Linked DNA regions of Macaca fascicularis. The protein of the gene in region 1 binds, or shares a complex with, the protein of each later gene. Links are inferred from orthologs where the notes say so. Each region holds a gene or a part of one and is shown on either strand. Other genes may lie near its edges. The genes, in order: NTSR1 and NTS.

Region 1 (4,500 bases):
ATTCTCCTAGCTGGGTGGGCCCAGGAGGGGGTTCCTCAGCCTCCCACTTCCCTCAACACCCTGCAACGCCTGCCCCAGCCTGCCCAGGTTTCCTGCTCCCAGCACAACAGCTGCAGCCAGCAACGTCCACAAAGGCCAGGCTGGTTCCCCAGCCCTGCACACACGCAGCAGCAGCTCTACCCAACCTCTCCCAGGGGTTCTGGGGAGGAGGGAGCAGGGGAGGGGACGGGGAGGGCCTAGAGAAGGGACAGTAGTGCCCTGGGGGCTCCTGGGCAACCCAGACATGCAGGGGACAAGCTTGTGCCTGGTCACCTATGCCAGTGCTACCAGTGCTATGCCAGTGCTACCAGTGCTATGCCAGTGCTACCAGTGCTATGCCAGTGCTACCAGGCGCTGCGGGGACAGGGAAAGGACAAGAATCTCGCTCTCACGTGGCTCCCGAGCCAGGGGCAGGGGCACCCTGTGAGGCGCTCCGAGGGAGGGAGTGTGCAAAGCCTGCAGGGCCTGTGAGGAGGCCCTGACGCGTGCTGTGGGGCTGCCCCTCCCAAATCCTGCTGGGGTGTGGGCTCTCAGGGTGACTTCTGATGACAAATCCAGGCAGTAATAAGGGACCCAGGGGATCACATCCCATAGCATCATGAGACCGGCCCAGGGTGCCAGGTGCGGGGCCCTGAGTGGGGAGGGTGCTGTTCTGGGCACCTGCTTTCCGCCCTCCCTCATTAACCCCTCCCTAGACTTTGATGAAACCATCTGTGGCTCCTGGCCTCTGCAGGACCCAGCCCCTCAGCTCCTCAGCCTCTGCAGGACCCAGCCCCTCAGCTCCTCAGCCTCTGCAGGTGTCCCTCGGTACTGCCTCACGCCCCTGCCCCAGGTGATAACTATGCCCTGAGCCCCCACCATTCCCACTGGGCATATCCCAGAAATACGCATTCACAGACCAGGCACGCCCATGACTGCAGCTAGATTTTAAAAGGAATCACAAGAAATGTAATCTCTAGTGGTCCTGGAGACCCCCTGGGCACCCAGCTTCTGGCACCCTGTGGACACCCAGGAGTAGGGGGGCGGCCCAACCAGCTGCGCAGCCGCCCAGCCCTGCCAGCGGGGAGCTTCCTCCCTCCCTGCCCTCCGGATACACCCTCACCCCCACTGAGCGAGCCCAGGGTTGGGGGGGGTGCATAGTTCCCTTACTAGCCGGAGCGAGAAATTGCGGAGAACAGGGAAAAGGGTGGCAGGAAGGGCCCGGTGCACGATACCCGCCGCACCCGCCCGGAATCCTGGTTCCCTGGAGCGCTCAACCCAGCCCGCCCTGCCCCGGGGAGCGCGAGGGGGCGACCCGCCAGGCTGCACCCGGGTGGGGCGGGGACGACAGCGGGGGCTGCCTCCCTCCTCCGCCGCCACCCCCAACTGCTGGGCGCGCCGCGCGGCCGCCGGCTTCGTGGAGACGCGCAGAGCCGGGAGGGCGCGGGCGCGGCGGGAAGTGTGCGGGGCTAGGGTGCGCGGAGAGCGCGAGGGAGGAGATTCGGAGCGAGGGAGGGGAGCGCGCCGGGGCAGCCGTGCGTGCATTCCTCCCGGCGCCACAAGCTCGCCCCGCGCAGCCCGAGCCAGGCTGGGCGCTGTCCTCGGGAGCCTGGGGAACCGCGCGATTTGGAGATCAGAGGCACCCGGAACCGGTGGCAAGCGCCGAGCCCGGAGACAGCCCGAGGAACCGCGGAGTCTGGAGCCAGGAGCCCGGAGCTGGGAGTCCGGAGCTGGGAGTCCGGAGGAGCGCGGAGCCCGGAGCTCGGGGCGGCGCGTCTGGGTCTGGCGCTTCCCGGCTGGACGGCGCGCCCGCTGGTCTTCGCCACGCGCCCTCCTCTGGGCTCCCGTTCATCGGTCCCCGACTGAGACGTGCCCAATCCGCCCGGACTTCCAGCCCCGGAGGCGCGGGACAGAGCCGCGGACCCCAGCGCCCACCATGCGCCTCAACAGCTCCACGCCGGGAACCCCGGGCACGCCGGCCGCCGACCCCTTCCAGCGGGCGCAGGCAGGACTGGAGGCGGGGCTGCTAGCCCCGGGCTTCAGCAACGCTTCGGGCAACGCGTCGGAGCGCGTCCTGGCGGCACCCAGCAGCGAGCTGGACGTGAACACCGACATCTACTCCAAGGTGCTGGTGACCGCCGTGTACCTGGCGCTCTTCGTGGTGGGCACCGTGGGCAACACGGTGACGGCGTTCACGCTGGCGCGGAAGAAGTCGCTGCAGAGTCTGCAGAGCACGGTGCATTACCACCTGGGCAGCCTGGCGCTGTCCGACCTGCTCACCCTGCTGCTGGCCATGCCGGTGGAGCTGTACAACTTCATCTGGGTGCACCACCCCTGGGCCTTCGGCGACGCGGGCTGCCGCGGCTACTACTTCCTGCGCGACGCCTGCACCTACGCCACGGCCCTCAACGTGGCCAGCCTGAGTGTGGAGCGCTACCTGGCCATCTGCCACCCCTTCAAGGCCAAGACCCTCATGTCCCGAAGCCGCACCAAGAAGTTCATCAGCGCCATCTGGCTCGCCTCGGCCCTGCTGGCGGTGCCCATGCTGTTCACCATGGGCGAGCAGAACCGCAGCGCCGACGGCCAGCACGCCGGTGGCCTGGTGTGCACCCCCACCATCCACACCGCCACTGTCAAAGTCGTCATACAGGTAAGCCTCAGTAACCAGCCCCGGGGCTCCCCTCTCCTTCACCCCAAAAGCAACGCCAGTGGTGTGCCTTCTGGGTAGGGAGTGGGAGAGAGGTCACAGAGACAGTCTACTCCTGTGAGGCTGCGAAGGCGGTTGGGGCAGCTTGGGTGCAGCTCCGGAGTTGCCAGGCTCAGCCCCTATCTTCTCCCCTCCTGTTGAGGGGATGGAGCCCCTGCCTGTGACCTCCCTGGGGTTGGTGGCTGGGCCTCCGACGTCTGTGAATTCCTTAAGTTCTAATGGAAACATGTGCGCTGGCACCTGCGTCTCCAAAGGAAGGGGTCCCTTTCATCAGCTTCTCAAAAGGCTTTGTGCCCCCAACAGGTGACGTCCTCTCCTCTGCAGAGAAGCCCCCAGACTGACTCTGCCAGTGCCTCCCAACTGCCTGCCCTGACCCAAACTGGGGAGTCAGAGCAGAACCTGATGCCATCTTGGGCTGGTTCCTAGTTTAGCCTCAGCTTTCCCATCTGTATGATGGGGTAGTCTTAGCATTGACCTCAGAAGGTAGAGCATTTGAGAGAGAATGTATGGGAAGTGTTTGCATGGCCCCCGACACATAGAAGCGCTCACAGGTACTATTACTGCTGGATGGTGGGGACGATGTTTCTGCTGGGAAGGTTGTGAGGCTCTGCGGGTGGTGGTGGTGTTGTGGTGAGGTGCGTAAAACTGGAGCCGAGTGACCAAGGGCCCCCCAAGGGTCTGAGCAAAGCGCCGTAGGAATGCAGGTGGGAAGCCCCCTTGGGAATCAGTTTGGCTGAGGTTCGTGGCTGGAGGGGAGGACTGATCAAACCAAAGTCCCGAGCCGGAGGTTGGTGTCCAGGGAGGAAGTCAGGGCTGGTCGGGCACCTTGGATGGCACCTTGGACACGAGCAGCCTTCGAGGTGTGGGGTTTCTTCCATTTCTGGTGGGCTAAGGAAGCCAGAGGGTGAAGGATCCAGGCAGAGTCGCCCACCTCTGCCCAGCTAGAGGGGCTGGGGTGGCTGGCTGTCCCCCTGGCTCCCGACACACCAGCATCGGCAGCCTCCCAGCTAAGCTTCTGTAGTTGCCTGGGCAGCCCTCATATGCCAGTGTGCCCGGTGGGGGTGGGGGCAGCAGTGCCGGGCAGGGCGTCACCTGGGCCCTAACTGACCCTCCACTGGCCACCACCCAGGTGGACTGGGGGGTGGGGGGTAGAACTGAGCTCCCAGTCTCCCCGGCTGCACGAAGAACTGGTGGCAACAGGTGTCTCCTCTGGGGGAGGCCCCTCCCACAGACACTGGTAGCAGGCAGTGAGTCAGGGCTGCTTTGCCTCTGCCGCAAGAGTCCCTGCCCTCCCCAGAGGCAGAAGTAGGCACGGCCCGTGGGGTAAACGCAGTGATAAGTGACCTCTCGCTCCCTTTGAGGCTTCATCTGCTCTCCCCAAGCTCCTGCCTTTGATCGGCATTGGCCAGGGGCGTGGAGGGGCCCCAGGGGCGACAGCCACCCAATCCTTCGGAAGGTGAGCAGTGGAGGGGTCAGTGCTGTCACTGCCCACCCAGGAGGTGTCCCCGCTCAGACCCCTGATCCTCCCGCTCCCCTGGCAAAAGGCCAGGAGCTCACCAGCCTCCACAATCCTCGAAAACAAACAGCTGAAAAGCACAGGGGTGTGACGACAGCTCGGCTCCACCCCCAAGAAAGTGTCCTCCCTGGCGTGCGTGGGTTCTCTGCCGGGTACTTGGGATTGGGCACCTGTGGGACATCACTTTGCCTCCCAAAGCACCACCTGCCCAGCCTTGTTGCTTCGAGGCTGCGAGGCAGATTTGGCCAAGTCATGCTGC
Region 2 (4,441 bases), on another chromosome or scaffold:
CAAATACTTTACAGAAACTTTCCTCCACGTATGTTCGATATCGTATTTTATGTAAGTTCACAAAACAAACTAAAAGTAATAAATATATCATTTATTATTAAATTCCTGGTATTATATGAAAGACTCCTTACTATTCTGAGTAATTATTAAATGCTTGGAATTAATCTCTTTCCTTAAGTTTAGGGTAAAGGTGAAAAAGTTAAACTCATAGATTGTATAACATAAATCAGTTATCTATAGGCATCAATCCTATTTGTTTCTCAACTGTTACTATATGATTGATTTATTTAAAAATTAAACAATGCTCAGACAACTTTACATTCAAATATTCACATCTCTAACAGCATTGACTTGTCAAATCACCCCATGTATCTTGAAACGCTTACTACAAGAAGAAAGCTTTACTCTAAAAGGCATTTTGAGCAATTTTCTTTCAGAACTCAGACAAAGAATGGGTATCAGTGTAACCCATTAAAAACACGAAGACTATCATAGAAAAGTGACTTTGGTGAACGGTGGTTATTTAGGATTGTCTCCTTGCCAAAAATACAATCTCATTTTTATGATGAAAAGAGTATTATAACAGGGAAAGTAAGCTTATGCAATAGTAAAAACAGTTGAGAAGGGAATTATACAAAGAATGAGACATGGCATCAAGAATGAATTCAAAAAGAGCAGAAAAATATAGGCACAAAAAGAGATAATGTACAGAAAAAAAAAGTCAGTGATACAACAATACAAATTTTTATGTGCTAACATTTAAGTAATTTAGAGCTGGATTGTATAAACATGAAATTGTTTTTCTAATACATTCAACCAAAGTCAGCACACATAGTTCAGTCATCTCTCATTACTTACAATAAAATATTTTTGATTTGTTGGGAAATAATATCTTATTCCCTGGATCTATTATTTCTTTTTATTGGCTTTGTTTCTATTCTCTAAATTTATTTGCTTAATTTTTATAACTGATTCTCTGACTATATTCCATCTTATTCTAGCGTGGATTATTTAAAACCTGTATTAGTTTTGGAACCACTAAACATTTGCTCAGAAGTTTGAATTACCAGAAAAGCCCCTAACTCTTCAAGAACTTTCAAGCCTAAAGAATCACTGATTTAATGCATTCATCCTTGAGATTTTACTTAAAAATTAGAAATAACAGATCTCATATTTCACAAAATCAAAATGACTTTTGCAGTGGGGGAATGAGAAGTGGGAAAAGGTTGATACTGGGGGTTCTCTGTCAGTATGCTGTACATAGCAGTGCAGTTGAATGACTCCTTCTGTGCGTCAGAAATCCAAAGCAGCAGCAGCAGCAATTAGGGAAGATCGTCACTTTCACTCAAGGTTCAGAAATGGGGGAGGAGAGCAAAGGGGGACAAAGGAAAGGGGGAGGAGAAAGCAGGGCGAAGGGGGAAAGGATAGAGGTGAAGATAGGGCACATCCTGCAAAGATAATGCCTGTACAATCAATGACATCATCCTCCTGCTTATATATATAGGGGAATGGCCAGAGCACCTCTCATAGTTCACTCACTTTCAAAGCCAGCTGAAGGCAAGAGGAAGTGCTAGAGAGAGCCCCCTTCAGTGTGCTTCTGACTTTTATGGAATTGGCTTGTTAGAAGGCTGAAAGATGATGGCAGGAATGAAAATCCAGCTTGTATGCATGCTACTCCTGGCTTTCAGTTCCTGGAGTCTGTGCTCAGGTAAGCAAAACAGAATTTCACAACTCCCTGAAGTGATTTCTTTTTTCTCTTTTGCAGTGTGTTGCTACTTATGTTCATGTATCGAGGGAGAAGAGTTGCTCCCTTTTATTCAGGATTTACCTTTTAGTGACAGAAACTGAATATCTTTTTCTCTGCCTTTATGATTACTGAGAGCTGCATTTTCCCTTTTAAAATCTACAAAGCAATAAAAGGGATTTCAAGGAAACACTGCATGACCCCCTTTGGAATGCAACCACTAGAGGAAAAAAAAAAAAAAAAAAAAAAAACCTTACAAAACTTTCAATTAGGCTGATCATTATCTAATGAGAAGTACAGAGACAGTGGCTGTCAACCTGCAAACCCATCATTAAATCCCATTCCATTTAAAATGTTTTACTCTCATCCTCATTCAATCTCTTAGGAAACGGTGGCCCTCATGCCCTTGTAATAGTCCCCATATTATTTTCTTAATTGTTTGTGTTAAGATAACACATAAAGTGCAAATGGATGCTTACTGAAAAATGAATGAAGCATTATTTGTAGATTTTCATTTCTAGAAAAATACAAAAATATTCCAGATCTTTTTGAGAATACAGTTTGCATAGTCTAATAAGTATGCTATTAATATAACTGTTTGGCATTTTTTCCATGCCATTTAAGTTAATACAAAATACAGTTGGAGAATTGGTATTCTTATATTGATGGAAATGATTTGACTTCAGAGTGTTTTGCATGTGGTGTGAAAGGAGAAGTTATATAGTCCTAAATATCTATAAATAACACACTTTGAAAATAAGATTTAAATTGAAAGGTATAACATGAAATATTACAACTATTGCAAAAGGCTGTACTTAATATTTAAGAAATATTTGAATGACCACTTCAAAGGGAAAAGAACACCTTAGGAAGTAAATGCAGCAAAAATAATTTAATCTGCTCCGTGCTTTTATGTATCATAAATATGACATTGAAATGTTTAACTCAAACTCATGCTATCATTTGATTTAAATTATGACATTAAAATCTAAGAAGATATAAAAGTGATTTATGCAAAATTTTAAATTTATTTTAATCATCAGAACATAACTTTCAGCTTCTACTTTTCAAATCTTATGAGAAAAAACAAACTTTTCTACAATTGTGATTTTATCTGAAAGTTATATGAGATTAAAGATTCACATACTTCTGGAAGAAAAACTGGGTTATTGATTAAGCACTGTGATGATTAACTTGAAACTACTTGTTGTAATAATGCAAAACTTATGAGGATTTGAGTATACATTGTTCATAAATTCCTAAAACAGATTATGTCTCTAACAAATAAGGAGAGAAGATCTCTTGTATAATTTAGGTTCTAGGTAAAATTAAGCCAATAGTTTCTCCGATTCTGACATTTCTTTTTACTGAGTGTGAAGTACAAGAAAGATAGAGTCATTTTTAACTTGATTTTTATTACCGTACACTATTTTCTAAATTTTCCTTCTCTGTAAAATATTCATTAACAGAAACTTGGATAGAGTTTTAAAAAAAATCCAGAGACCCATTTTCAATACTATTGTACATGTATTGTTGAATAGCTCTACTTGTGCTTTAAACAATTTTCTTAAACACCTATGATAAAATTAAGGATACATAATTCCGAATTCTTACTTAAAGTACAAATACAATTCTTTCAACGTATGTTTTGTAAAAAAGCATCTCAAGTTAAGTAAATCTCAGTATCTGTATTATTCTAAAATTATCAGTAAGCAATTCCCTTTGGTTTTGTCTTGAAAAAGTCTCTTGTATAATCTTCATTATGTTGTGTTTTTAAATGTTAATATGCATATTTTCTATATAGGTAAACTATGGCTGGTAAGAAATAAACTACTCTAGCATATTTGGTAAAATATGTGTTATACAATATAATCACATTTTAAAAATCTGAAATTCAAAGTTTAAACAACTCGAAGTCATCAACAGCTGTCTGAACAAATAATCATATGCTTATTTTCTTAGAAGTGCTTCTACTATTTTAGCTTCCTATTATGCTAAAATATACCTAAAATTTGTTTTTTAAGATTACTATTTTTAAGAAAATACATAAGAAAGACATTAACCTCTAAGACTACTTTTTAAAATTAACCTAAAATCTGTAGATTATGATATAATTATATGATATGTGATTATAGTAAACTTGATTTTGATTTTACTCAGATTCAGAGGAGGAAATGAAAGCATTAGAAGCAGATTTATTGACCAGCATGCATACATCAAAGGTAACTTTTTCTTTTCTTTAACTCTGGGTTGAAGAACATATGAACTTTCATTATCAATATGGTATCCTTTTCCTTTAGTAATAACTTCCCATCCAGATTTAAAAGTTCCTTAAGAGGCATTTCCTTTTTGAAAAAAAAAAATTCTTTTAGTTAAAAGAAGTTAAAGGTGTTGATATGACAGCTAAAGAAATTATAGTTCTATCAATCAGTATTTTGCAATTTTAATTAATTGCCACACATATTTACGTGCCTGTAAATGTTTTTAAAGGAACTTGTTTCCATGCCTTTTACATTGGGTATGATGAAAGGTATATTGGTCTCAGTTTAAATGAAAACAAAGTGAGCTCTTTGCCTTTGTTTATTATATTGGGGGAAATAAAAAGTTGTTTTTTTATTTCCTTAAATTAGAAATAACAGTTCATTACAACCTGCAAAAGAAATGTAGTAGAGAGGGGAGAGCAATGGACTGGCAAGC

Evidence for each region.
Region 2: the proteins of NTSR1 (region 1) and NTS are in contact, whole or in part, in a crystal structure (PDB 4BUO), measured with the Rattus norvegicus proteins. The link is inferred for Macaca fascicularis from reciprocal best matches to the Homo sapiens genes NTSR1 and NTS. Residues at the interface, in NP_001102437.1 of Rattus norvegicus: Ser53, Asp54, Leu55, Asp56, Asn58, Phe128, His132, His133, Tyr146, Met208, Val224, Cys225, Thr226, Pro227, Ile238, Arg327, Arg328, Phe331, Cys332, Tyr333, Ile334, Ser335, Asp336, Trp339, Phe344, Tyr347, His348, Tyr351; in NP_001095851.1 of Rattus norvegicus: Arg157, Arg158, Pro159, Tyr160, Ile161, Leu162.

The regions. Positions count from the first base shown.
Region 1 is NC_088384.1:118,771,716-118,776,215, forward strand, and holds the start of NTSR1 (neurotensin receptor type 1), read left to right. Parts: upstream 1-1,445; 5' UTR 1,446-1,954; coding exon 1,955-2,668; intron 2,669-4,500. UniProt on the Homo sapiens protein: G-protein coupled receptor for the tridecapeptide neurotensin (NTS). Signaling is effected via G proteins that activate a phosphatidylinositol-calcium second messenger system.
Region 2 is NC_088385.1:92,769,398-92,773,838, forward strand, and holds the start of NTS (neurotensin/neuromedin N), read left to right. Parts: upstream 1-1,526; 5' UTR 1,527-1,635; coding exon 1,636-1,708; intron 1,709-3,904; coding exon 3,905-3,966; intron 3,967-4,441. UniProt on the Homo sapiens protein: Neurotensin may play an endocrine or paracrine role in the regulation of fat metabolism. It causes contraction of smooth muscle.